4 linked regions of the Alligator mississippiensis genome follow. The main gene of each other region encodes a partner of the protein of the gene in region 3 in a complex. Links are inferred from orthologs where the notes say so. Each region holds a gene or a part of one and is shown on either strand. Other genes may lie near its edges. The genes, in order: PAK1, DCP1A, MAP3K5 and ARHGEF6.

The links.
Region 1: MAP3K5 (region 3) and PAK1 share a complex: the UniProt entries of both Homo sapiens proteins name them as parts of the cytoplasmic complex. The link is inferred for Alligator mississippiensis from reciprocal best matches to the Homo sapiens genes MAP3K5 and PAK1.
Region 2: MAP3K5 (region 3) and DCP1A share a complex: the UniProt entries of both Homo sapiens proteins name them as parts of the cytoplasmic complex. The link is inferred for Alligator mississippiensis from reciprocal best matches to the Homo sapiens genes MAP3K5 and DCP1A.
Region 4: MAP3K5 (region 3) and ARHGEF6 share a complex: the UniProt entries of both Homo sapiens proteins name them as parts of the cytoplasmic complex. The link is inferred for Alligator mississippiensis from reciprocal best matches to the Homo sapiens genes MAP3K5 and ARHGEF6.

What each region holds. Positions count from the first base shown.
Region 1 is NC_081824.1:471,028,180-471,035,224, forward strand, and holds the start of PAK1 (serine/threonine-protein kinase PAK 1), read right to left. Parts: upstream 3,015-7,045; 5' UTR 2,911-3,014; intron 2,725-2,910; exon of another isoform or gene 2,445-2,724; intron 1-2,444. UniProt on the Homo sapiens protein: Protein kinase involved in intracellular signaling pathways downstream of integrins and receptor-type kinases that plays an important role in cytoskeleton dynamics, in cell adhesion, migration, proliferation, apoptosis, mitosis, and in vesicle-mediated transport processes.
Region 2 is NC_081835.1:25,101,120-25,108,668, forward strand, and holds the start of DCP1A (mRNA-decapping enzyme 1A), read left to right. Parts: upstream 1-4,536; 5' UTR 4,537-4,662; coding exon 4,663-4,797; intron 4,798-6,029; coding exon 6,030-6,070; intron 6,071-7,549. UniProt on the Homo sapiens protein: Necessary for the degradation of mRNAs, both in normal mRNA turnover and in nonsense-mediated mRNA decay. Removes the 7-methyl guanine cap structure from mRNA molecules, yielding a 5'-phosphorylated mRNA fragment and 7m-GDP.
Region 3 is NC_081824.1:118,877,677-118,885,174, forward strand, and holds the start of MAP3K5 (mitogen-activated protein kinase kinase kinase 5), read right to left. Parts: upstream 3,004-7,498; 5' UTR 2,905-3,003; coding exon 2,637-2,904; intron 1-2,636. UniProt on the Homo sapiens protein: Serine/threonine kinase which acts as an essential component of the MAP kinase signal transduction pathway. Plays an important role in the cascades of cellular responses evoked by changes in the environment.
Region 4 is NC_081831.1:79,759,799-79,766,640, reverse strand, and holds the start of ARHGEF6 (rho guanine nucleotide exchange factor 6), read right to left. Parts: upstream 3,009-6,842; 5' UTR 2,944-3,008; coding exon 2,779-2,943; intron 1,580-2,778; coding exon 1,496-1,579; intron 1-1,495. UniProt on the Homo sapiens protein: Acts as a RAC1 guanine nucleotide exchange factor (GEF).

The sequences.
Region 1 (7,045 bases), about 350 Mb from region 3:
TATCAGATCTTATTAGAGATTTTTGCAAAAGAAATCACCTCCACCTTGAGTTCTGGTTCCTTTTCCCTCTAGACCAGGCCGGCTACAACCTGGAGACCTTTTCCCATCTTTAACTTGCCCTGAGCCTGATGAAGGGCGTGTGAGCCCAAAAGCTTGCAGAAAAAAGATCATTTTCTTTGCATTTTCTCACTTCGTGTAATAAAAGGTATCATCTCCGAACCAAGAGTTCTAGATTTTTGCATTTTTCCCCAATCTAGCTTCTTTTTTTTTTTTAAAGAAAGGTCAGCAATGCCACCAGCAACAGAAAGAACAGCTCAATGAAGTCTTTGCTATAGCCTTTGGGGGATTTGTTTTTTATGTCAACTACACTGATTTCTCAGCAGTGATTCATCCACGTAACTGGAGAAACTGGTCTTGCACTTAAGGCACTGAACTGGAACTCAAAAGACTCCCAGCTCTGCAACCAACCAACCTACTGTGTAAATTCAAGGAAGTCACTTCCTCTCTACAACTCAGGTTTCCCATCTGTTTAAAAAAAATACACCTTTCTCCCATCCTCTCTGGTCCTTTTAACCTTTGTACTCAGGGAACCCAACTACATATTGTTCTGCACAGCTGCTAGTCCAAACCACACCTCTCCTCCCAGGGCAGGTTGCAAGTGTTTACTGTTAATAACTTCAGATTAAGAAATAAAACTGGGTGAATTTACACTGTTGCCTCCTTTTGACCTGGTTTATTTTTTTTCTAGGTAGACACAAGACACACAGCACTGGCAGACAGGAGGAGACAGTTGTGTTAGCTTTTAAAACCAAAACCACCAGGCCTAATTCATCACTGTTTATTCCACTCTCCCACCCGTCTAACACCCTTGATTTCAGTGTTACATCAGCCCAGAAGCAGAGCGAGGGAGTGGTACGTCAGGTCCAAAGAGCACAGGCTGTATGAGAAAAGAAACCATCCAAGAAGGTTATTGTTTAACCTGCATGCCAGATTAGATGGAAAGATCAAAAAGGAGCTGGATAGCTTCAATAACCAAAACCAAAACATTTGGAGCTCCAGATCACACAATCAGTCCAAAACCTGGATGATTATCGTGAGCATATTGTAACAGGCCTGCAAAACCATGTGGGACACCACAGTGCCTCCCAAAAGAAAGCATTTCATCCAAACAACTTCTGCAACATGCACGTTCCCACCCCCAGAAAAAAAATGAGATAACATTTAAAAATAAAGGAACTTACAGTCCTACATGAACCACAAACCTCTGTGACTAAACTTGAGACCATTTCTCCTTCTCATGTCCTTCCTGGACACGCTCAGTTTAGACTGAGTTTTCTGGGACAAGGCCCAATGAGACCCAAACACAGGAGCCTGGCGGATGCCCAGTTGAGGGGCTGTTATCAGCTGTGGTGTGGTCACCAGGAACAAAAAATACACCATATGATATCAAGTAAATAGGAGGAATGGTTAATATCGTGACCCTTTGGGTCACATGGTTGGACTGCATTTAAAACAGATAAAAGTAAACATGCCAAAATGCATGTTCATCTAATGCAGTCAATTAATTGCAAGGAAAAATGTTCAGGCCCCTCGTGGTGTGGGAAATTCAAGTCTTTCGGTTCACATTTTCTCTCTTGCTACATTTTCCCCTCTTGCAATGTAACGTCACACACAATATTCACCAAGAAGGTATTTCAGCTGGTCAGCAAGCTGGCTACCGTCCTCATTCAGCAAGATTGGTTTCTTCCTCAAACTTATTTTTGGGGTTGATTTCAAAGTCATTTATAGGAGAGGTAGTTTTAGCATCCCACTTGCAATCTCTGGTCTCCCCACGGGGTTCAAACGTGCCAATTATCCACCTCGCTGTCACCCTCCATCCCTGAACTTCAGCATTTCTCGCCTTGTGTGGACAGAAGGCGAAGTTCTGTCTCAGTAAAAAGCAAAAGTAATCGATGCTGGAACGGCAGCGTTACGATTCTCCTGGTTTCCAGCTCCCTCCTCTGCAGGAAAATCATTCCTACTCCTACAAAGAACCGGCACCAAGCGAAGAGAGGATTATAACAAAGTCCTCTCAGGGGACCCAGGCTAAGATGAGCCCAAAGCCTCTTTCCGAGCCCAGCCATGAAAGGTAAGAATGAGTGGCCTCAGCTCCCAAAGTCACCACGGATCTGCTTTACCTTGCGGGCTGAGATCTAATACATCACAAAGCTCCCAAAGCATAAAAAAGACATTCAGAGTAAAGGCACACGCAAAGGATGGGACAGAGGCGAATGCTAATATGCAACCTTTTGAGTCCCAGGGAAAAGGACAAGACTTTCTTCCTCTTGTGCTCTGACTTGCTGAAAACCAGACGCACGCCTCTCCCCACAACACCCGCTCTTCTCTCACTGTTCAGCCATGGCTAAAACACACCCATTCCGCCTTATTACACCTGTAGGACCTACCTCTTCGGTCTGGCACTTGGGGAAGCCCGCTTGCCTCAGCTGAGACAAGGCAGCGGCTCTCAGCAGCACTGGGGTACCAGCCCCAGGTGGCAGGGTGGGATGAAGGATGCAAAAACCACCATTTGCACAGTCAGCGGATGGGGCCAGCTGGCACTGCCACGGGCACGGGCTGGGCTGCTACGCTTTTCAGCTCCTGGTGCGACCCCAGAGCTTTTTTTTTGGCTCGCTGCTTTTGCTTTTTTCGTTGACCGCGGAGCCGCGCGAGAGCAATTCTGCAGCTAAGGAACGTGCGAGCCGGGGCAGAGGTGCGGGTCGCGGCCGCAGGGGCGGGGGAGCGCCCGGCGCCGCGCAGGCGGATGCTGCGGGAGCATCGGGGCTGCGCGGGGAGAGCCGGAGGAGGCGGCTCCCAAACTTCAGCTCCTCCCGAGCCCCGGGGCTGCATGCGGGGAAGGGGACCGGCACTCACCTCCTGCTGCTGCCGCCGCTGCAAGGTGCTGCCCGGCCGCGGCTGCTTGCAGGCTCCGGCTCCGGCTCCGGCTCCAGCCCCTGGGCGAGCCGTGCCCGCCTCCCGCTCCGCCTCCGGGCCGCGGGGTGCGAGCTCCTCCCCGCAGCCCCGGGCGAAGGAGCCGGGCTGCGACCTCCCCGGCGCCCTGCCGCTCCTCCGCACACGGGCTGGGGCTTCCCCGGGACAGGAGGGACAGGGCAAGGGGCTGAGTGACCCCAAGGGATGCTCACTGCTTCTCCCACCAGGCACCGCAGCATGCCAAGGACCACCAGCCCACTCCAACGTGGGCAGCTCTTTGCCGCCTGGGCATGAGCCGCTTGTTGCCCCCCAGCTTCCCCTTTAGCCTGGACTCGGGCTTGGAGGACAGGGACGAGCGAGGGGGTTTGGGGCAGAGTTTGCTTGGCTCAGGGGTGGTGATGTTTGTTTGGCTGAAAATGCCTATAAGATGTCGGCGTGCCAGGGCAGGGAGCCGATGTTGTAGCAGGGCAGCCCCCAGACCCTTCCCTGCCGTCTGCCCTGAGATGAGCGTGCCAAGCAAAATGCCTTGCAGCCTGGCACCCGTGCTGGGGGCTGCCTACCCCTGCTGGAGGCTGCAAGGGAAGGGGTGGAAGAGCTGGGGTGAGGTGTTGGCGCTGGACAGAGCTTGCACCAAACAGATGGGGAGCACGGACAGCTCAGCTCGCTGCATGGGCAAAGCATAGGCAGGAGCCTGCGGCAGCCCAGCTGTGAGCTCGGAGGAGAGCAAGCTTGCCTGGCAGTGGAGATACCGTGCTGATAGTCCTGGCCCATATGTACCTGGCAGGGGAGATCCCCTTCTTCCTGGCCTTGAGCAACTTGGCGCTGTTGAGAGTGGAGACCCACCCATTGCACTGGGGTAGGCTCCCCTGCAAGAGTCTGCTAAGCCCTCCCAATGGGAAGATCTCAGCGACATAATTTATGGTGAAGGGGATTGCTCTTGGGCTTTCCCTCTAGCTTGCTCCTTTGGCCTTTTAGCTAGGGGCGAGCACATCAAGGGGCATCTGAATGCCAAGGCTTGGGGCTTGTACGTAGGACACCTACCATGGATTTGGGAGCATCTGAAGCCCCAGGGGCTGAAAAGTCTGGGAGGAAGGAGACTTGCCTGTGGTAGCACTGCACAGACTTGAACAATTGAGCTCTGCTCAACTGATTTGGCTGCTTTGGCCCGAGACACAAGATTAAAAAAGAAAAGGAGAACAATAAGGATACTCGATGGTATGAAGAAGCCAGGCCTGGTGCATTCAGAAAAGAGACGTTGGAGCGGGGACGTGAGGAGGGTTTACCAAATTCCAAACAGCAAAGAGGAAGTAAATAAGGATGCGTTCACTGTTGACTCTCTTGCAATACTAGAACCAGGGGTCACCACATAAGGTGAGTAGTTAATTTAAAACTAGCACAAGGAAGTTCTTTTTCACCCAGTGTCACGAAGGTGGGCAACTCATTGCTGCCGGATGCAGGGGAAGCCGACAGTTTGGCCAGGTTCAAAAAGGGATTGGACACGTTCTCGGAGGAAAGGGGCATCGGCAGCTATTGAGCATGGGAGTTAGGGGCACAGCCTCTGACCCCGAACTTCCTAGACCAGCGGTGCTCAATGTTTTTTGTTCAGTAGGCTAGATGGGAGCCTCCGTGGGCCAGATCTGGTGGTGTTGCAGTGGGGCCCTATCTCTCCATGTGAAGGGGCAGCTGGCTCCCCAGAGGAGCAAAGGGGGCTTGAGCTGGCCGCTCAGGGGCAGCAGGAGAGAGCGCATGGCCTGGACTTGATCCAGCCTAGGAAGGGGGAAGAGGGTGTGTTCCAGCCCCAATTTGCCACACAGGGCTTAGGGTCTGGGAATCTGGCAGAGGGGAGGAGCAGCCATATTAATTGTCACCACTCCCTTGCCGCCAGATCCCCCAACCTGTGGGGAGCCCTGTGGGCTGGATACCAGGCTCCATGGGTCAAACTTGGCCTGCCGGCCAGAGGTGGAACACCCCTGTCCTAGATCTGAAATGCTGGAGGCTGCAAGTGAGAGAGGACCAGTGTTCAGCCCCGGTTTGCTCTCCCTTTCAGCATCCGCTGTCTGCCCCTGTGTGACACAGGACACGGGGCAACTAGATGGCAGTTCTTATGTAGTGGTGCAGGCACGATTCACAAGATAAACCCAGAGATTTCAAATGGGGATCTCTAGTGTGAAAACCTTTCTGGCCTGCTGCATGCCCTCTGAGTTCTTTGCAAGGCAAGGGTTGCGCTAATATTTTTCTGTAGCTGAAAAACAAGTGACAGCTAAGAGCTGACATTTTCCAAGGGGTGCTTCGAGCCTATGGAGGGGGCCTCATGTCTGAACTGGGCTAGAGGGAGTCTGAGGGCAAAAAATTAGCACTTTCCAGAATTGATTGTTCTTTCCCACCTTGTTTGAACCCAGTGACCATCTGCCCTTAGACAGGGAGGCAGAGATTCAAGGGTGGTTCTGGTCTGAGAAGTAGCAGTGTGACTGGCACCTTATTCCAGGGCCCTGTTCCCATGGGCAAATCCTGTCAATAAAGGGGTGCAAATGGTCAGGTGCATCATCACATATAAAAGAGTGCATATTTTTCTCATGGTTTTGCCACCTAGCTGATCAGGAACAAGTAGCAAAGCTGCTGGGGTCCCTCTGCCAGTAAGTATGGGGAGGGGAGGAGTGTACGGCTGCCCCGTACGCTATCATGATGGGAGAGGCCACAGCGGCTGCTAATGGAGCAGCACTGGTGATAAATACCACAGGACTGAGAGGTTTGATGGAGAAACTCAGTGTAGATATGTCCTAGCTGATTTGTCTGAAGCCAAATGCAAAAGGAAGAATTGCATACACTAGGAATAACTTCTTCCTACACTTCCTCTAAAGCAGAAGTACTTTGGGGGAAAATGTATGAGAGTCCTAGTACTTGAAAAATATTTCTGGAACTAAGGTAGGGCTAAATTTGTCATTAAAATGATGCATCAGACAACATCTGTGACATGTCCTGATTTTTAAAAAACTTTTCTGACCTTTCTCTTGTGCATTTTCACAATTCTCTTCTCCCAATGGCTGTCCTTGCTTCTTTCACCTCCTGACTCCTGCAGGGATAACAGACAAATCTGGCAACCCAATTTCCCACAAATACACACATGTCTATTCTTGAATTGGGAACTATGCAAGGAGCAATGGTGCTATGACATTTTTATCAAGAGGAAGTGGCAACAGCATTTTACATCTTGGTATTTAGGCAGGCATTGGTAAGGACTGGGCATGGTATTATATACCCTGACCTTAAATGTCGAAAGAGCTGGGAAAACTGGAAGCACCTCATGCCCCCAGGAAAAGGGAATGAGCCACCTCAGCAGAATGGCTTCCTGCAAATGCTTTGCCTAAATGCTGAATTTAGGACACTAAATTCAGTGTCCTAACTCAGCAAGGTTTCATATAAGATCCCTGTTGCTTTGGCAGGAATGTGAGTGACCTCAACGCCAAAGACAGATTTCTTTTCTCCTTCCCCGTTTTCTTGTGAAGTGCCTGAGACAGATAACTCGGTTCTAATGAGACAGTTTACCAAGCAAGTCAATTCAACATGAACTGCTCCAAATTGATGTAGAGAGCATCTGTGCTGCATGGTGGCGACAATTTAGCGAAGGCAAGATCTATACTTAGTTCTTGTACCACTTGAACACTGCCTTAGTACAGAAGCAGTCATTCCGGTAAAAGATGCTTGTGCCTGTATAGCTTCGGAGAATAGCTGCATCCAAACTAGGAGGCTGTCCTACTTAATTATATCAGTTTCTAACAACTGTGGGAAGAGCAACCCTCACTCAACCTAGAAACGGATTTATTTCAACCTGTGCAATTCTTGCCAGTGCTAGTAGATCATGGCTAAGGAAATAAAAGGGGCACAAAGTCATTTCCCCCCTTTTCTTAGTTGCCTCTGAGAGACCACGTCAAAGTACTTCCAAATTTATAGACTATTATTCTATTCTATTCTTGCTATTATTAAGAGATTATAACAGATATAGCAATCATTTGAGTCCCCTTGTAGGACTCAGAAAACCCTCTGTTTTCTGAATCTAGTCAAACATTATCTGTCTTTGATC
Region 2 (7,549 bases), on a different chromosome or scaffold from region 3:
ATAGGCCATATTGAGAAAGAGATCCACTGCAAGCAAAACATCCGGGAGTGGTAGGACTTGTGACCATTATTTCAGATAGAAAAGTGGAGAACATTCACTACCTGTCATTCAAATTTGTCTCTGCGATTGCTGGTTCCATTTTACTTGCCACTATCTAGTCCAGGGGCAGGCAAAATGTGACCCAGAGGCCAGATGCAGCCCACCAGGCCATTCTATCCAGTCCGTGGGGCCCCTAAAAAATTTAGAAAATTAATATTAATCTGCCCTGGGCTGCTTGTCATGCGGCCCTCGATGGCTTGCCGAAACTCAGTAAGCGGCCCTCTGCCCAAAATAATTGCCCACCCCTGATCTAGCCCCATTTACTTTTCATATCCTACATAGAGCAGTGAGGCTTTTAAGCATGACATGAGATTTTACTGGGTGTGCTCAGTTAGTTTCTCTAACATCTTAACAAAAACACTGAATTCTTTGCTGCTGCTACTCAGTCAGCCAGGGGAAATATTAAAGGGCATCTATACAAGTGCTCTGGGGTGGGGGGAAAGGTGCTTTAATTAGAGCGTCTCTGAGATCCGCTCTAATTAAAGTGCCTTCAGCATCTGTGTATTCAATGCTCACGCTTCAAAATGGCAGCAAAGACAATTTAACTAAAGCTTGTTCAACGAGATTTAAAGTGCCCCTGCCATAACTTTGAAATACAGGGACGCTGACTACACCTGACGCGGAGGCTGCTGGAGCGTGCTAATTAGCACGCTCCAGCAGACTCGCAACAGACTCAATTAATGGAGTCTGCTCCAATATGTGCTAATTAACATGCATCGGAGCAGAGCTTCATCACATGTATAGGTGCCCAAAACGACTACAAACTGAAGAATGTTCTTCCTACCTGAACTCTGAAGTGGAGTTGCCAGACAAGCAAAAAACTTTGGAAGCTATTTAAATAATCTGTTCTGGAAAAGGTAGTGACAAGGGTGGGGGCAGGTAGAAGTAAAACTACATAGAATGAGCTCCAGATAGGTAAGTAGGCAAACAATGGAGAAAGCCTCCCCTGACAACAGCAAGCCATTGATGGAAGAGATGAATCACTACCACTTGGCCTGTTTTAATGTTAATGTATGTAGAGTACATACAATGTAGCACTCAGTGTTCTTCTGTACTATAAAACCACTACTGAATAACTGAAATGCAGAATGTAACTCACTTAATTTGTTGAAGCACAAATGAAGTCTGTCTAACTTAAACTGAAAATATCAAAAGGTCATTGTAAACACTGTACCACTTCAACAGGAGTGTCTTACTGCACGAACCAGAAGTATACGAGAAGCGAACATTTTCCCTACACTAACTGCTTCAAAATGCAAGAGAAAACAAAAGGCATTTGCAATACACATCAGTCACTGAGCAAGCCTAGCACAAGAAAACTAACATTTCATTCACGCAAATGTCAAAGTTTGAGGCTACCCGCATGCTGTATACTTCAGGGGTCAGGAGGCATATGGGAGGCCATACCATTTATTTCTGAAATAATGAATCAGCAGCAGTGAACAAGGAAAACAAACTCTCTGACAGTGGAACTGGAATTAGAGGATGGAGGAGGAAAAGAAGTCATTAACAGAAACTGGCACTTGGTTTTGTTATCTCTTCACATTTTGCTTTCAATTCAAAATGCAGCAAAGGAACTTTCACATTTGACAAGATCTGACACAGCAGAAACCTGCCCCTTTTCAAGATCAGTTCATTACATTTATCTAAAAGATACATTTGTTTTAGAGGTTTATTTGAGCCTGTTGTGAAAAACAAGAGCCTGTTTAGTGCAGCTATTAGAAACACTGTTTAGATGCAAAATCTAAAAGGATTTTGGAATGGTGTTTCTCTTTCTTTCAGTCTCAAATAAAAGACTTATTAACTTCCTTTTAAAATACAAAGGAGAGTCAATTATCCAAACTAATTGGACCCAAACATTGTTCATAAAATCCAGTTGTTTGGCTAATGAAACACACTAAATGAACACACACCAGTGCCATTCTCTGAAGCAAGCCTGGCATCAGAATTGCCTTTTCCAGTTTGTGGATTATTTCAGTTTTTCCTGTCATTAAAACAGTTCTCTTTCTATTCAATGCCATTATTCTCACTTGTACCATGCACCAGAGGTTGGCAGCACAGCATGCAGTTAGATAAACAGTGTGTGGATAATTCACGTTCTACTGTAATTTTTCAAATATTTTTGCTTTTTCATACTTGCATTTCTCATTCAACATTTTATCTCATCATAGGTACCACTGGATGGACATGGGAAGCTCCTATTGAAGTTACTGCACTTAGACCTACACTGTGCCAGCTAATAAAAAGGATGAAGAAAGAATACTGTGGTTCTTGGATGGATGAGCCTGTTCTTGTCATGCTGCCTGTCCCTTCAACAAGCCACTGACTTTCACTTACCCTTTTTGAGAAATATAAGACTCCTGGAGCATCTGGAGAGAGAAGTTTCTTGTTCAGGTAGGCAAACACTACAGAAAAGGACCTGGGAGTTACAGCCAACAGTGTGCCCTTGTTGCCAAGAAGGCTAATGCCATACTGGGCTGCATTGGTAGGTGTTGCCAGCAAACCAAGGGAAGTGATTCTTCCCCTCTATCCAACACTGGTGAGGCCACATCTGGAGTTTACTGTGTCCGGTTTTGGGCCCCCCATTACAGAAAGAGTACAGACAAATTGGAGAGAGTCTAGTGGAGGGCAACAAGAAGGGTGAGGGGGCTGGGGTACATGACTTATGAGAAGAGACTGAGGGAACTGGGCTTATTTTGTTTAGAGAAGAGAAGATTGGGCACATCTACATGTGCATTAATGTGCCATAGGTAAGGCACATTAAGTGTAGTACCTGTAATAACAGGTACTAACTGAATACACAGTAACTGGTGCTACTGCGCTGTAGTGCCAGTGCACACCTTTTTAGTGATGCTAATGCACAGTACACTAATTCTGTCAGGGGGTGTACCGCCAATCTCAGGGGACGCACCGCCAATCTCAGGGGACACACGTGTACCCCCTACGTGTCACCAATGAGTGGAGACCAACTACTGGTAAACATTTTCCTATGAACCAGTGGTATTCATCTGGCACAATTTTACTGAAGGTAAATCAGGTGAGGCTCCAGTTTTGTGTCTGCTAGAGGCACTGTCTACATATGGCAAATATTAATTAAAACAATAGCGTATTTTAGTACAAATAGTTACAACAGCTTTTATTTCAACACGGTTCAGTGAGACGGATGATTTTATCCATGGTAGCATGAGAAGGAAAGACTGACAGGATGACCTGCACATCTCTTCAGTAGAACAAGCTCCAGGGAAGAGTCTGAGGGCAGAATAAAGAGGACTTCACCTGCTGTGCCCTCATTCTGTCCATTCACTTTGCTGTTGACATGGCCCTGGGGCACCTACCTGCTGCCTCCTTCACCCTCACATCTCCATATTGGCTGTGCACCAGTTGGAAAGCAATTAACCTTGAAGAGGAAAACCCCTCCTTGCTGGAGCCACAACAGATCCTGCTGGACAGACAAAAGTGTCACTGCAGGGAAACCCAACAGAGTCTGTAGTGCTGCTGGTACTACGAGAGATTTTTGGTGGAGCTGGAATCTGAGAGAAAGCTCCATCTGTTAGTATATTTTTTCTAATATTCAATATTGTAAAAAAAAAAAAGTGTCCAAAATGTTCAATACCCACCCAGATAGACCAAGTCCTATTAAACAACTATATTTGATCTAATGTAATACAAGCTGTGTAATAGGGAAGTCCACTCGGCAATGACTTTAGCAGCAATAATCAGTTATGTGACCAGAAAGGTAGATTGTGTTCAATACCCAGGTGGTGTAAGTGGGACAGAGGTAGCTTGTCGCTCATGGGCAGCATCTCAGCTCATAACAGTAATAAGGATAAGATGCCAACGCATACGAGGATCCTGGGGGAAAGTAAAGAAACGAACCGGAGTTAGGCTATTGCTAACGGAAAACATGAATCAACTTTTACCTTCAGAAAGCAAAACATGAACGAATTGGGATTTTACTGCACAGGAGCAGACTCCTGTACTGTCGAACAGACCCCAGACCACGTCTCAAAATCCCTCGCTTTGCAAGCACTTACTAGTTTGCGAGCTTCTTTTAAAAAAGGCAGAAAAAAGAGAGATTTACTGAACTCCGATTTTATGAGAGGAGAAAATGAAAGCGGCGAGGGGACAACTGAATACCACCTGGCGAATACCTGGTGCGGTGCTGCGACAACCTGGGGAGATGCTACACGGGTTGTTTAAATCCGTAGTGGCGCAGGGCTCCCCTTCCTCGTCCCTTAGGAACGAGCTCGGCCCTTGGCCAAGGAGGTGGCAGGAGCCCTTTGCCCTCGCATCTCCGGGCTCCTCCTCGCTGCCCACCAGATCCTGCTCACGAAGAAGCACCGCGTTCAACACGACTGAGTCCCGGTGTGGACATGTTCACCCCCCGGGCCGGGCTCTAATTCCCGCGGGACAGGCCCCGGGCTGGCCGTGAAGCAGCCCGAGGGGCCGGGCGGAACGAAGCTGGGCGGAACGGAAGGCGCGGGGCGCGCGCGCGGCGGACGGCTGCGCGGTGGCTCCGCGCTCAGGTCTCGCCGCCGCCCGCGGCTCCTCCCGCGATCCAAGATGGAGGCGCTGAGCCGAGCGGGGCAGGAGATGAGCCTGGCGGCCTTAAAGCAGCACGACCCCTACATCACCAGCATCGCCGACGTCACGGGCCAGGTCGCGCTCTACAGCTTCAGCCCCAAGGCCAACGAGTGGGTACGTGCGGGCCCGGGGCCGCGTCGTGCCCGTCCTGCGCGGGGCCCTGCGCCAGCAGCCTGGGGCTCCGGCGGCTCCCCCGGGCCCACGAGGCGGGGACCTTCGTCTCGAGGGAAACAGCCTTTTCCTCGAGTGCCGGCGCCGCCTGCCCGTGCAGCGGCCGCTGCTGACAGCCGCGGGGCTGGTGGCCGGGGGAAGGCGTTGGAGACGCGTGTCTCCGCGGGGGCAGGCGCTCCCCCCAGGAAGGTGGAGAGGAGAAACTCTCGGTGCCCTCTGCGTTTCCCGAGCAGAAATGAGCGATGTGAGCTGGCGCTCAGAGTTTCTGCTGAAGTTACAGAGGTTCACAGTTAGAGGCTGGAGCTGGCGGGCTTGTGCCTCTTCCTTTCCAGACCCCCACCCGCCCCTGCCCACCTCCGCTGAAGCAAGTGTAGCTTCATACACACGAGTGCTCAGTTAGGAACAGGCTCTTGTGAAAGCCCTTCTTTTGCGGGGGGGGGGGGGGCCACAGTGAGGTTTTCTTTTAATTAACTTTTAGTGTTTAAAGCAGGGGTCAGCAGCGTTTTTGGGCAAAGTGCCCCAAACACCTGTAACCTCGGTTGGTGAGATGTTGGTGTGCCAGGGAGGGAGAGTGTGGGCGCCGCCCGGGGCCCAGTCCTTGTTGTGGCTGTGCACACCTGGCCCCTTTGCCCACAAGCACGCGTGCCAAGCAAAATGCCTTCACGTGCTACACTCTGGCACGCATTGGGGGTTTCCTATCCCTGGTTTAAAGCAAAGTCGTGATGAATGAGTAGAACGAGATATCTGTGAATGACTAGGAGAGAACAAACGGTATGCTGACTTGACAGCAGTTATGTGCGAATTGTCATTTAGGTCTTCTTACAAGACAGTGTGTATTCTTCTGGTTGTTTGTGGAGTTAAATGTATCCTTGTCTGCCCTAAAATGGGATTTCCAAGGAAAACTCTGAATTTTTCCTTTGCCCGTTTGGTTTGCACACGAGGGAATTGCAGGATACTACTTATTACTAACAAGGGAATAATATTGTTCATGCAGGCCAAATGATGTATATAACCACATGTTGCCTAATAGTTTTAGGCAGATATGTGAAATGCAAGAGAATTATACTCTGTCCCTTTTGAGAAGGTGGAATCAGTTTATCATGATTTTAGTCAGCAAGCTGCGTAACTCTGTAAGCAGACATATAGTTGAAATAAATCATTGCTGTCTGTTGTAGGAGAAGACTGACATAGAAGGTACCTTGTTCGTATACAGAAGGTAAGGTATTTTATGTAAAAATATATTTTTTTGTATATAACTGTTTTGTTGATCTTCAGTCATGTTTAACTTTCCAGCTATACTGGTTTCTGTTGTCCAGAAAAAAATAATCTCCAGCTAATTCTTTTTCAAAAAAGAAATGTAGCACCTAAGCACAATTCCTACAAAAAGAACAGAAGATTTTTCAGGAGCAGTCTTGACACACAATTACATAGAAGTGGAAAATTTTAATTGGGCTATTTTGGTAGTGCATGATCATTCACTAACTAGTATATTCTTCTGTGCCGTAAGTGACTCAATTGATGAGGCTTTCTCCCCTTCTTGTAGTTCAGAAATTCCAGATGATAAACGTTAGCATAATTTATATAATTTTTAAGTCCATACAATTTAAAAGCCGCTAGTTTATGTATGAACAGTTTTGGGTGTTTTTGATGAGGTTATTGAGTGACCTTGAGCAACATGGCCAAATACTTCTTTTTAGTAAGAGTTAATGTAAATATAACCAATGATTTAGACCTACCCCAAAAGCAAATCAGTAAGTTTGCAGCCTTTCATTGTTCCATTGTATGTAAGAAATGGGAATGAATCCACCCTTCCTGAGAGACAGCCACCATTTAGTATTTTATTTGATAATCACGTGGTCAAGTGGTTTATATACTTAGTTTTCATGGACTTCACTTGCATCCCAATACTATGAGCACTCAAGCAAATTGAATAATTTTTTACTACTGGTTGCAGGTCTAAATATTTTATTTGAAGCTATTCATGATAGTAAAATAAGTACTGTGTATATTTAAATCTTGAGATTAGCATGTTTGGCCCTCTCAGGAAAGTTTGCATTTCACTTTCTTAAACTTTAACAGGATGTGGCCATGGTGCTGTTGAAAGGTTAACCTTTCAAACAGTTAATCACATCTGATAAGAATAGAGTAGATTTACGCTTGATTCCCAACCTGCCTCCCTCTCCTCCCCCCCCCCCCCCGAATGCCCCATAACATGACAAAAAAAAAAGAGCCGTCCTAGTGCTACAGTGTTACTTGTACAGTACGTTTTAACGGCATGGCTAAGCATGCTTATAGTGTTCATGTGATTAAGAATTTTAAGGGGACAAAGATACAGCCTTTGTCTTGAGATTGATTGATTGGTTTTGTTTTCAAATTTGAGTCCAGAGCAAATCTTACACAGAATATCTTTTATACTATTTGTTAAAGCAGTTTTTCTTTAGGTTTTTTTTGTTTTTTTTGTTTTGTTTTTTTTTAAGGAACTATACTCGGGGTTAGGGGAAAAGTAATTCAGAAGGAAGAACTCTCCCTTTACAGGTCTGCTCTGAACTCTTATTCTAGATTTTAATGGAACTGTACCTGTTTAAGGTAGGGGTAAATTTGACTTGAAAACATTGGGCCTTTTGATGTGACATTCTGCAACAGGGGCCAGAGCCCACCAAGTAGAGGTATAAGCCCCCCCTTGATGAAGGGGACC
Region 3 (7,498 bases):
ACACCATTACAAACAAGAACAAAGATTAGGCTGCAACCAGGGACAACTCTTTCATTTCCGTTTAACAAATGCATTTGGAGTACCAAAGAATATCATAAAAGAAAAAGATCAAAACTGCATATAAACTAATATGATATGTCAGAGACTTAAACTGCCATCTTTCACTTCTCTAATGCTTCTTTTTCCTTCAGCTGATTTTACAGTAGGAAGTGAGGTCTTCAAAAAATCTGTTTGCTACACAGGGAAGCAGGGAGGGGATCCAAGCCATACATGTCTGCAGAATTTAAAATTCTTGTTTTTTGGATTTTGTTTTCTTTAAATCACCTTCATGATTTGCAAAGATACAATACAAATGAGAATACTGCTATTTTGTCTTTCTGAATGCAGATAAGACTGTACTCATCCCTCTGCTGTTGCTCATAGTTTTGCCACACATTACTGTGAAGAACTGTCACTAACCTTGTGAGTTGCATGCTATTTGGAAAAAACTAAGTGCAGTAGGGCCAACAACTAGACCTTCAAACATTTGGCCTTATGTCCAAGAAGACACTCCAAAAAGTCTGGATGTTGTCCAAGGGGTAAAAGGTACTTCTCAGCAGGCCACTACCTAGGACTCTGCTTGTGGACTCTCCCAGTCATCTCTCATTTACTCCTAGACAGGTACTACTAAATAGTAGGGCTGTGCTGAAATATGCACTATTTTAATCACACTAGGCTAAAATTGCACAGCCATGCGAGTAGCACTTGGCTTCTACAGCACAAGCAGTGTCTGCTCCCTATATGTTCTTCCAATTAGCCATAGGGCTGTAAGTTTCTCTTATTTTAGCCTTGTACTTTGATGAATCTTGCTATTTTACAGAAGCAGAATGACAAGATAGTTTGCCTAATTTTGTAATACTTGGGGTTAAATCCACATAGATAGTGTTTAGAAAATGCTAGATTTTTACATTTCCACAACTTGCTGAAAAGCCACTGAAGTAATGTTGCATTGCATAAGCTTTCAGTTATGCAGTGTTATGTGCCAAAGTTCTGACTGCCAGAACTGGAGGGGCCCACCATCAGGTCTGATCTCCATGTGCAAGAAACACTTCTCTAAGCTACTGAAGCTTATCCTAATATTATCTGTAATTTAAGCCCTGACCAAGGCAATTTATCTTAGAGGCATGAAGCTGAGAGGAAACTGAACGTGCCACAGGCAGCCACAATGGCAGATGTTCACAGATATTTCTATAAGCCGAGATACTGATCAGAAGATCTAACATTTCACCCACTCCAGCGTGGCAGACTCTGAGTCCTGCAGAGTCCCTTCATCTGTACACAAAAATCCAAAAAATGGAACCTCTTTGCCTTCCTATTAGGATGTAATAGCACAGCACTTCTAACAGCTGTAAGATCAGGAGGTCATACACTCTACTCCAGCCAATGTGGTGGGACTTCCACAGTGTCAAAGGAACAGAGAGGAAAAGGGAGCAAGCTGTATAAATGGCATACCACCCATCCAGGATATGCTTGATTTCAGATGCTGTCTATTTTCAGTAACAGAGTAGATTCCTTAAGAATCTGATAAACTGCTGCTACTCCCCCCATAACCCTGCTTTGCTTTACTTGAATACGGCAGGTCTTTTTGTCAATGGAGCCAGACTAACCATACCAGAGTGCCCGGCATAGGCACTGCCTGCAAGTCAAATAGCTTCAGTTTTGCCACTAAGAATGCAGCTGAATGGGAGGAAAGGGGGGGGGGGGGGCGGAGGGATTTTCCTGCCAGCTAATTTACAACCCAGACAGAGCTCTGTTTAGTCCAGTGGCTCCCAACCTTTCTAGATTCAAAGCACCCCTTGTTGGACTCGAGGCACCCCTTGGAAAATGCAGGCTCTTTGCTTTCACTCATTTTTTGGCTATGGTAAGATAATACAGCAGTGGTTTGTAACCTTTCTAGACTCAAGGCACCCCTCAGAAAATGCCAGGTCTTAGTTTTCACTCCTTTTTTTTTTTTTTTGACTGTGGAAAACAAACAGATCAGTTCTTCTGTTGCAAAGAACTCAGAAAGACCACAACAGGGCAGGATGTCTTCAGCACTGTGGCTTCCTGCCTGAAATCTCCAGGCTTAGCCTGAGAATGACATTTGCACATCTGACAGTGCTAACATGGTGTGGCACTCAGCCCCCAATCCCAGCCTCAGATCGACTCCAAGAGGCTCCGAGATCTCCCGGTGGATTGAGATTCACTGGTTGGTGACCACTGTTTTACACAATGTCAATGCAACCCCTCCACCAAGCCCTGGACGAAGGCTGGGTTCACACTGAGGAGGCAAATGCCAATTAAAGTAAACAATGTTTGGTTGTCAGTAAAGAGAGTTTGCTGACAAGTATTTCTTGGCGTAGCAACCCTGTCCGCAAGCTGCTACCTGTGGCAGCATCCCCAGCAGGCTCTTGGGGGCACAGATTCACAGAAGTTGAAGGCTGGAAGGGACCTTGTGAGATTATTGGGTCCCTTCCAGCCCGAATGTCTATGCAAGCTATGAAAAATCAGCCGCCGGGGAGAGGAGGTGCTTGGAGGCGGGGGAGGGCGCCCCGACGCGGGGCCACGGCCAGGGTCGGGGGCGCCACGTGCCCGGGCGGGCCGGCGGGCGGACTCACCGGCGCTGTAGAAGCGGTCCAGCACTGCCGTCTCGCCGAAGTCCAGCTTGGCGAAGTGCAGCGCGTCCAGGGCGGCGCCCACCGCCTCGCACGCCTCCCGCAGGCTCTGCAGGGCGCCGCTCTCCGCCGGCCCGCCGCCCTCGTTGATCACATAAACCACGGCCGTGCGCCGCCCGCCGGCCTCGCGGCTGCCCCCGCCGCCCGCCTCCGCGCCGGCCGGGGGGCTGGGCACGGCGAAGCTGAGGCCCCCTTCGCTGCTGTCGCTCATGGCGCCGGGCTCAGGCCCGTGCCCGTGCCATGTCCCGGGCTGGCCCCGGCTGTCAGTCCCCGCCGCAGCCCGCGGCGCCGCTGCCTGCTCGCGGCTCAGCAGGACCGCCCCGCCCCAGCTCCGCCCCGGCTGCGCGGGGCCGCCTTCCCGCTCGGCCCTTCTTTGCCGCCTCTCGTCTCTGGTGCCTTGGCCCCTGCTTCTGCCCCCTCCTTTGACTCCCCCTGCCCCTGACTGCCATAGAAGATGGGATTGGCAGGGCCCTCGGGAGGTCGTCTAGTCCCGTGTGTCTCAACGCGTGGGTCGTGACCCAAAAGTGGGTGGCAAGAATACATGGAAGTGTCGCAAACAAACTTGCGAAACGGATTCTCGGTTCAAGCAGTGCCCTGGCGAGCCTCCTGGCAGCCCTGGGCAAACTTGTAGTATCGGCAGAGCCGACCCGAGCAGCGTGCGGGGCCCCGGGCAAATCACCCCAGTTCACCCCTCTAGGGACAGCCCTGAGCATCGGGCCCCCCTTTGCCAGAGATGATAATAATAATAATAATTTTTTTAATTACCGTTTTCAGGCCCCCGCGAGTTTTGCCCATGCATTGTCCAGCCCTGCTTTAAAGGAGAAAAACATGGGGAACTGAGGCTTTTCCCTTGCAGGCTGGCAGAGTCCTCGACTGTGAGGGGCTGCTTAGGGCTCCACATGCCCCACGTCCCCCCTCCCCCCCACATACTGGGGGCCTGGGGGCAGCAGGTTGGGAGTGAGGGGCGCTAGCTAGGTCGGGACTGGTCGTGGACGTTTATAAAAGGGTCCTGGTACAAAAAGGGTTAAGAACCACTGATTTAGTCCGACCTCCTGCTTAAAGCAGGACCCTCCCCAAACTAGATCATCCCAGCCAAGGCTTTGTCTAGCCCTGTCTTTAAAACCTCCAAGAATGGAGAGTCCACAACCTCTCTGGATAACCTGCTCCAGTGTTTTGCTACCCTCCAAGCGAGAAAATTCTTCCTAATATCTAACCTAAACTTCCCTTGCTTCAGCTTCAGACCGTTGCTCCTTGTTCTGTCATCTGCCAGCACTGAGGAAAAGGGTCTGCCTTCCTAGAGATCCTGGCAATCCCTCCTTGCTGCGGGGCACAGGTACTACCTGGAGACCAGCACCCATCTCCAGCTGTTAGTGGGGAAGGGGAAGGAGAGAGGCATATGTGTACTTCAGTGTCAGAGCAATGTTGTAGCCATAATGATCCAGAAATTATGCAAGAGGCAAGGATTTTGTAGGGTGATATCTGTTATTGGCCCAGCTGCGTAGGTGGGATAAAGTTGGACATGGTTTCCAACCTAAGACATTCTTCCTCAGAGTTCCCTGAGCTATTCTTCCTCTCCCTGAGACCTGAGGAGGAGTGTCTTACATGCCACAACACACCTTGTCTAAACCTTGTCTAACTTGATCTCAGCTACACAGTCTGTCCAATAAAAGATATTACCCTGAGATAACCTTGCCCCTTGTTTGTAGATAACCTTGCTGGTTCAAGCAGCACCCTGGCGAGCCTCCTGGCAGCCCTGGGCAACCTTGAAACAACCTTGCCCCTTGTTTGTACTTCAGGCATATAGCTCTCTCACCCATGAGCTGCAGGTACAGCTCATCCTCTGTCAAGAGCCCTCAGATGTGAGGAACAAGGAGACTTATTTTCCAGAGAGCAGCACACGCTGTTGAATACTTTGCAGAGACTCACTTGCAAGGGACAGCTGTGTTTAGGCCTGGCATGTAGGGCTCTGTGGCCAATAACATTTCTAACGAAATAGCTAGGATTCAGCATCATCAGGTTGCAACCTGCCCCTTTGAAAAATGTCTTTGTGCTTGGAGGTCAGGCAGGCATTCCTGTGCCATGTTGGCAGCCCCAAACATTGCAACACACACATGCAAGGGAGCCAAGACCTGAAACTCACCCTAACTGAAATGAAGCTGATGAATCTGCTTTCATTGCTTACCCTAAGTACAAATACTTTATTGTTCTAGTTAGAAGTAAACCTGTAGAAGTACACCAGGAATGTACAGATGCCTGCCTAAAATACCTTCAAACTACCCTCAGCAACCACAACACACTGCACAAATCATCCATTTCATCCTCACCCATAACAACTTCACTTGAAACAACCGGTACTTCCTCCAAGAACCATCAAAATCACACCTGACTTATTCACACTTAATTTATAATTGGCCTTCAATTTTGTATGTGATAAACAAGTGTAGAACAACCACAGGAAAATTAATTGTCATCTAATCTACAGCATACAACAGATTTTTAGTTTGTGTGATGGTCAAAAATGATACGTACTGACTTGTTTTTAAAGGAGCACAAAAGCACAAAATACAAAGCTGTCATGCAGAATCATAGCTGTCATGCAAATCCACCCACCACTGCAGATATGTCACATTTCAAGAAACCAAAACAACATGCTTGTGTGGTGTTGTGCTCAAGAACAGTACATATTCATCAGATGTTAAAGGAAATAATTGCCTTTGAGGAGGAGGAAAATACATGTGTTTTTTTTACCCACAGGGCAGTGCAGACTTCAGTATTAATATTGTATGAGGTTAATGGAATTTGGATTGGGCTCTAAGGATTTTTTCTACTGACTTTGGAAGTGGGATCCAGTGGTATAACTATGGGGTAGAAGAGGCAATAGGTGCAACTGCCTCCAGTGCCAAATTGGGGGGAGAGCAAACAAAAAGTAGCTGCTGCTGGCACTTGCACATTCACAAACCAGAAGTCACCCCTTTTGTTTTGCTCCAGGTATCTGGCTGCATCCCTACAGTGCTAGTGGGATCAAGCCCTAAGTTAATTGAAGCAATTACAAATTATTCAATATATACAGTGCATACAATTAGGATATATACTTTATAAGGGAGGTTCCTGCCTTCCACCCTGTTACTTTCTTGAGGTAACTTCAATACTATTAATTATGTACTGAGGTGCCCTTCTAGATTGGGGCCTATATTAGGCAATATAGAGGATTATTTTATTTCACTATAGAAAAAATATACATAACTTGCTGTATACAATAGTTCATGTGTTCTTTTTCTTTCTCCAAAAATAACTGTTCATGGAAAAATAAACTCATTATCTTGTTCCCTAAATGCCTTAAAATTAATATAGTCAGTACAGATAATTTGCATGTAATCAACTTGCCCAAGCTTGGGGTTGCTTCTGCACTGATTTAAATCAGTAGCAAAACTCTTCTTGACTACTAAGACGGTAAAATTGTCATGTCAGCAGTTCTCTCTTTGTGTGTGGGATTTTTTTTGGCACTAACATAAAGGAGCCTTGATTTCTGATCAGGCAGTAAATACTACTATAATACAAAGACTTGTGCTGTTAATATTATATATTCATTTTTAATTTTATTTTTTGTTTTTCTTGCTAAAGAAAGATTTAAAAAATAAGCATGCTATCTCTCCAGAAAATAGCTCCAAGATATTAATATGTGGAGAATTAGAAGAATTTTTTGCAGACTTCACACAAAAGAATACCTTTACAACCAAGACAGAACTATTTCTGACAACTCTTCTGCCTCAATAGATTAACAAAACCAACAACAAAACATCTGACTGGACACCTCCCAGCCAACAGGACCACACATTGGACTACTAAATTGACTGTTTCAGGAAGAAAAATGCTAAAGGTGACACCCTACACCATGAAAGCACAGTTGCCTGCCTAAAATACCTTCAGGAAAACGGACCAGACTTAGATCTGCAACCGCAACATATTGTGCAAATCATCCATTGCACCCTTACTCATACCAACTTCACCTGAAATAACCAACACTTCCTCGAAACCATGGGTGCAGACATGGGCACAAGGATGGCTCCCCAGTATCATAAGCTACCTGGAAAAGGAGTTTTCACAAAATTGCAACACCAAACCAGTACTATATTTGCACTAAATAGATGACATTTTCATGCTCTGGACCAAACACCTGGACTCACTTTTAAAGTGTCATCTTGAAAGGATTAGAACTCAAATATTGGCATAATAGAATTTTTGAATTCCTTCAATAAATAGTCCAAAATGGGGTCCTAAATTCTCTGCATCTCCAAAGAGAACTGTTCTAATTAAGAATGACATATTATGTCTAAGGTTATATAAGGCTATGGCGCATAAATCCACCATTTCTATGTCTTGGCAGAATGTATTAATTCAAGAACTTGGTTTATCTATGTAAGCTAGTAATAATCAGCTTAGAGTTAAATAAATGGTATTTCGCATATGAGTTCCCACATTTGTAAACTAAACATCTTATATAAAGGTAGGTACAGTAGACATACCTCTCTTTAAATTATTTTCTCTAAATGTTTTGGAATGAAAAGAAGTTCAACTATTGTAATGTCTCCTCTAACAAGCAGTGAAAGAGTATGCAGAAGCACAGTCCAGTCTGGTCCATTAAAAGCAGAAAGATAAAAAATTATGGATATGGGAAACCAAGATGACTGGGAGATCTTGAAACAATACCTGGGCCTGAACCAATCTTTTTTTAAAATGGGCTTTGGGTCAGGTCCCAAGCGAGGAAAAACAATTACTTAAAACAGAATCATCAGTTAGGTCATTAA
Region 4 (6,842 bases), on a different chromosome or scaffold from region 3:
GTTACCAAACCCTCTCAAGATCACGAGTTGCTTTCAAAAACCTCATGATTTTTCAGCCAAACAACACCTTCTGGGTTCTTTCCCCTTGCTTGATGGATGCTTTTGAGCCTGCAGCATTCATATGTTATTCGAGCTTTTTTCTCCCACATGCTAAAACTCTGATTTGTATTTTTTTTAAATGAGAGCTGAAACACCCCGGTCATCACACGACTCCAGCAGCTGGGGATTTCAAAGAAAATATCGACCGTCACCAAGAATCAGGATAAAAAAAAAAATCAGAACTGGCAAACGCTGCCTCCATGCCCCGATCAGGTTTCTTTTGGCTTCAACGAGCAAATATATTTGCTCTGAAAACTAAGCTGTTGCAGCCGGCAGCAGGTTTCCGGCACCAGATTGCTGGGAAACAACAGGTTGAGGAGACAGTTTTGGAAATAACAGAGCTGCCTGCTCGTCAGCTGAGTAAGGGCTTTGACAAGCAAACAACTCTCCTTACACAATGTAAAGCTTCAGGTGAAAAGCAGCAGCACCGGCTGGGTCTTCTCCTTTCCCCCTGGAGTCCACGATTCGTTCCCGGTAACAACTGTGGACGGTTATTGCCTGCACAGGAATTGAGCATTGCATTTTTTCCCCCCACCAAACCATTAGGAAGTCAGTGACGATTTTGAAAAACGACGGCTGCTTTCCGTGGGACGTTGCCGATGTGAAACACAACAGGGCTTTTCTTCATTAATGGCATTTTACACTAACTTGAGGGAGGCCGCGCAGCAGGAGCGAGCACACGCAGAACAGCTCCTGACTCATTTTCATACCCTGCGGCAGCTTGTTGTGTAAGAGCACACGCTAACACACAGTGTGCCTGCGTTTGGGCACAGGGACTGGCCTCGCTCGGTGACAGGAAGGCTTGGGGGTATACAAAGACCTCTTTCTTCTGTCCCTCCTCCCTTCCTTATGTCCTTTGGCAGGACTCGGGCTCTGTGTAAGAGTATGTGTGAGAGACGCAAATGTAGAAAGTTGCCCTACTGGGCTCACCCTTTGTGAAACGATCCTTTGCAAGGGAAGACACGGTATCAACCTACAACACTCCGACTGTTATCATCCGATGCAACTAGTTAACACGGGGCTGAAAACGGGGTGACCTCTCTCCCAACACTGAAAAAAATGATTCACCGGTCGGTCCAACCAGCTTACTAGCATGCATTAGGAAGACTGTCGTTATATTATTATACGTTCCTACTTCAGCGTTTTGCTTCGTGTCAGAGGCTTGAAGGGCAGTATGTTCAACTCCGAGGCATTATATATCCCATCGCTAAAACCTTGTGCAGAGTCCCTGTCCAGAATATTAAATGATCCAGGCTTTTATGCACGTTGCTAACGTAAGAGATTGACAGTAACTTCAGTTTCCTGGCACCTGGCCTCATTTAGGAATAATTACAAATCACACAATTAGTAGAGTGGGGAAAAAAAAAATATAATGGAGACTAATAGAATGACTTACCTCTACTTGCAGGACTGCACAGCTTTTCAAGAACTCCTGAATGTTTCCGATGCAATCCTCTTCATTTTTGGGCTCCAGACAATACTAAAGAAGCAAAACCCCCCACGGTTACTGTAGTACCTTCAGCGCGGTCTGCATGCTGGATGTTTGACATGTGTGTGATCTACGCCGAATTAGGGAAGCTTATTTAGGGGGAGGATGGGGGTGGCAGGCAAGCTGTCGAACCAGGAAGAAAGAGCCACTGGAGGAAGTGATGCATAAATCTAAATGGTCGGCATCTTGTTTTTGAATGTCAACATATGACAGTGCCCTAAGTGACAGCGAGAAGCTCATGACCTTTCAGAGCACGCTGCCCCAAAGCACCACGCATGCCATCAGAGGGGCACATCAGCCAACACAAGGGCCGCTTTCGAAATAAAAAGTTCCCGTTTTGTAAGGAGGAAGGAACATATTGTTTTTGAGCCTTTTACTAAACAGCCTTTTTTCTGCGTGGCCATTTCTTTAGCTCTGATCGGGATCCTTCCTCTTTTCCCCCTTGCAATTATTTGTTGCCGATTTAGACTGCCTGTTTATGTACCCAGGAAATGGATGTACTGATTAACAAGACATTTGAGACGGATTAACTCAATGTACTGAATTGGCTGAAAATGGCGGGGATGACAAGTGCTTTTATTTCTGTTCGAGTCTGGTTTTTTACCTGGTGGGGTACAGGAAAACAACACCACTGTGCTTCTTTACGTAGTTGCACAGCTGTATTTACCTAGTTGTATTTAAAGCTCAAGTATTCATCGTCTGCATTATTTACATTGTGCTTCTCGAGCAGGGTGCTGCAGCACCCCGGACTGCCATAAGATCCTTTGGAGGGTGCCAAGGGATGCTGGACAATATTAGCACCGTCAGATGTAATAAATGGAGTTTTTTAGGAAGATCGATCAAGCTAAAATGGACTTCTGGTAGATTAAACGTTTCCACTTTAAAAATGGAAGAGCCCACATAAGGCAACCGACTCGAGCGTAACTGCAAGTCACACGCACAATATTGTTGCCTGATTTTGCCCAACAGAATAACTTATCAGCCAATCAAAGACGATCATTGGGTCACAAGATAAAATACCCGAGTCCCTCTGAAACAGGCCTTCAACCCCAGAAAAGTAAAAGCCAAAATGCACGGCACCTCCTGCTAAAGTAGACCACTCCGGGTCCACCAAGACGGGTCCTGCAGCTGCGCTGCGCCGCTGCTGTAGTAGGAAGTGAGCAAGGGGTTATATGAGCGAGGTCGGTTACCTTTTCCACAGATCCCGGAAGAAGCCGATTACTCAACTTGCACAGCACGACCCCGTCTTTCAGGGAAGTTTTCAGGAATCCCTCTGGATCACTGATGATCTTTTTGGGGGAATTCAAAACTCCTAAGGAAATAAGCCATGTCACCGCTTGCTCTTCTGGGTTCATTGCTGACAATTCTGCCTCCAGTGCCGATCTTTTGTGCAGCAGTGAGGTCTAATCTAACCCACATCCGTGATTGCCTCTTCCTGCCTCTTCTGGGGCTTGCAGAGCTAAGGCTTGACACTTTTTTTTTATTTTGCATGGAAACCCACTGACTTCATGGCTTCCATACCAGATTAACCCCAGTTAAAGAAACATGCTGCGTCTTATAGTTTCTTGTACTTGGTGAGTTTGCTTAAATATACCGAAAGTAGATCTCTGCGTTACACATTTGCAGCATGGCAAGGCCTAAAGGTTCGATCTTGCTCTATTTACGTATTTCAACCACACCCATCAATGTATTATCTAAGTCAGTGGTTCTTAATTTCTCCAATATCCTTCTCTGAATTTAGCAACACCCCATGTCAGAAACTAATTTCACTTGTTTTTTAACTAATTGAAAAATAATACGGCAATTCTGCCACTGCAAAGAACTCAGAAAGACCGTGACAGGACAGGTTTTTGACCCTCTGGATTCTTATTTGAAGTCTCTGAGCTTATCTTGTATATCACGCAGGGATGTTTGATGTGTCGAACTGTGCTAATATTGTCCAGCATCCCCTGGCACCCTCCAAAGGATCGCATGGCACGCCAGGTGCTGCAGCACCCTGCTCGAGAAGCACAACCCTACTAAAGCGTGCAAGCGAGCAGCTCTGATGCATGTAACGACCCCTGGGACTAGTCTCACAAGTTGATACCAATGCAGCAGAACAGAATTAGACACGTGCTTAGGTCTGCGACCAACCAGAGCTATTGCTGGCACTTGAGAGGGAGAAAAACCAGAAAAAGGAAAAATCCTTGAAACTGTTTTACTTTTTCAACTTTGAAAATGTAACAAAAAGATTTCTAATATAGTTTAATACTAAAACTTTCATTTTCAAAATAATCTCTCGCTATATAGATATCAGTTTAGTCGCATTGTAAGATTTTTCCTTTCCAGATCCTGTATCATTTTTTTCAAATTTGACCATGAATAAAGGGGAAAAAAATGTTTTGTGGAAAAATTGTACAACAGTTAATAAGACAAAACTGCCTCATGACAGGTGTTCAAGAGGTTTCACCTAGCTCTTCAGGACACCGCTATATGAACCATAAAGACATACGGGTGTGAGATACTGCACTCAGTTCTGGATGACGATGTACGGTGTAATCACTCACTTATAAGCCAAGTGCAGACAGTTAGAAAGCCCGAGGCTGAATCGATGCAGCCGCTGCAGGTTAGTCTAAGCTGCATAGACTGGACTGATAAGTAAGTGAACAGACATGCACTTTTGATTCCTGAACTGCACCCACATGCCTGCACTGGCCCAGGCCAGAAGCTGGGGGGTGCTAGAGCACGCCTTCCTGCTTGGCTGGAGCAGATGCCAGGCCAAGGCTAGTCTGCCTACCCTGCAAGGTGGGGGGTTGAGGGGGAGATGCAAAGCATCCTGGGATGCTGGGGGACTGTAAATTAATTTGGTTCTGGGACAGAATTTAAATGAACCGGTTTAACCAAAATCAGTTCAGTCGGATGCTACACCCATCCGGGTTCATCTTAAACCGGTTTTGGCCGTTTTGAAAGTGGTTTACACGCACTGAATTTCTGTTTGTTGCACATCTGAATTGGTTTCCAATCACGTATACTGGTTTGTGTGTCATTTCTGTCCTAGCCTGTACAAAGAGCCCAACAGTGTAACTGCAGCTGTTATCACCCAAGACACTAATTTAGAAGCAGGCAGCTGGCCTTTCTTCTAATCTGTTCAAAACTGACCCATCTTGGCAGAGCTGAAACCCTAAATTACTTGCAGCAGCAAGCTCAGACTTCCGGATGATTGATAAGACATCTGGGGCAGTGGGGCTAGGAGCCAGCAAAGTTGCACAAGATAGTTGGGCCCGGGAACTCGGCTCCTTCCAATCAGTAACTCGACCCTCCACGTTGTATGTAACCCTGCTCTTCAGGAAGCAGGCCTCTGTAAAAATAGCTTTAGGTTACAGATTAGGAGCTGTAGGCCTATAGCTGGAGACGGGTATTTTCACATCATCACCTCTGGGGAACTATTCAGACATGGCTGAAAAATAACGGAGGACCCTACACAAAAATGTGGAGGCAGTTACATGAGCAGTTTTATGCGTGGAAGTTGTACTGTACCTCCTGGGTTGGCCGCGAGAACGCAGAAGCTGATCGTCAGACGGGGATGCTTACAGCTCAAGGGTTTAAACAGGCATTTACATACAGATGACATCAAGCAGATGCACTGGGCTATTTCCCTTCTCTGTCATTAGCTAAAGTGTTCTCAACTTCCCCCTGCTATTTAGGTGCTGCCCAAAGCCAGGACTAGGAAGCACCACTAAGAAACTCAAGGTTCCCATCCTGCAGTGACAAAGCTGCGCCCGCTTTTACATTTTTCAGGAAGGGCCGAGGTTTCCCCCAACACGTCCCCCATCTGCAACAGGCCTGTTATGATCATAGGAAAGTAAGGCTAGACGGGTCATCTAGTCCAGCCCCCTGCTCAGGACAGGGTCATCCTTGGCGAAACCATCCCAGTCAAGCGTTTGTCTAACCTGCTTTTGAAAATGTTCAGGGATGAAGATGTCACGGCCTCTCTGGCTGGCCTGTTTCAATGCAGGGTCACCAGGTTCTTCCTAATCTCCAACCTGAATGTCCTCTGCTGCAGCTTAAGGCCATTGCTCCTGGTCCTGTCCCCTACAGCCAGAGAACAGTCTGTCTCTACCCTCTGTAAAATCGCTCTTCAGGTACCTGAAGATTGCTATTAAATTCTCCAGACTAAATAACCCTCATTTTTTCAGCCTTCCCTCATGTTTCCCAAGCCCCTAATCATTTTTGGCACAGTCTGCTGGACTCTTTCCAGTCTGCTCACATCTTGCATGGGTCTCAAAATTGGGCACAGTACCCCAGGTAAGGCCTCCTCAGCACTGAGTGCAGCAGAAGGATCACTTCCCTTGATTTGCAAGTGACTCTCCTGTTAATATAACCCAGAATGCTGTTGGGTTTTTTTGCAACAAGGGCACACAAATTGCTCACATTCATCTTAGTGTCCACTGTAACCCCCAGGTCCTTCTCTACAGTGCTACAGTCCAGCTAGCCATTCCCGTCTGTACTTGGTGTGAAATAATTGCATGCACAAGTGCAGGATTTGGCACTTTTTGCTCAATTTCATTTGATTGATTCGTTCCTCCAATGTATCCAGGTCCTTCTGAATCCTAGCTCTGTGCTCCAAACGATTTGCAACTCCACCTAACTTGGGGTTGCTTGCAAATTTGGGAAAGGTGTATCCAATCCCATTATCCAAATTGTTAAGGGTGTTAATACCAGATGAACCCCTCTTGATAACCTCCTCCCCGCCAGAGCTGTTGATGACTGCTCACTGAATATCATAATCCAACCAGTTATGTATCCATCTTACAGTACTTTCAACTAGTCCATATTTCTTTAATTAACAAAAGTGTCATTAAAAAGTCTTGCTAAATAAAGTCGAGGGCTCTCCCACCCACAAAACGTCACCTTATCATAGAAGGAAATCAGGTTGGGTGGAGGAAGAGCAAGCCAAGCCAGCCTCCAGCTCTGAATGAGCACAACAGGAAGAGGCTGGAGAACAGCTGTCCAGCACTTCAAAGGCACCCCAACTGGGGTAGGCACAGCAGGAGACTCCCTTTTCACTGCGTGATCTTCCTTTAACAGAAGAAGCCTCATTTAATTGCTTACTGTGCTTTTTGCTCCCAAAGGGTATGCACCCTTGTGCTTTTAGGTATTATAGTTTTTAACAGCAGCAGCTCTAGAACCAGAAGCCAACACCTGTTGAGCACTCAGTAGGACAAGCCTCTCAGAGGACTTATGAGCTTCTAAGGTGCGACAAGCTGACCTTAAA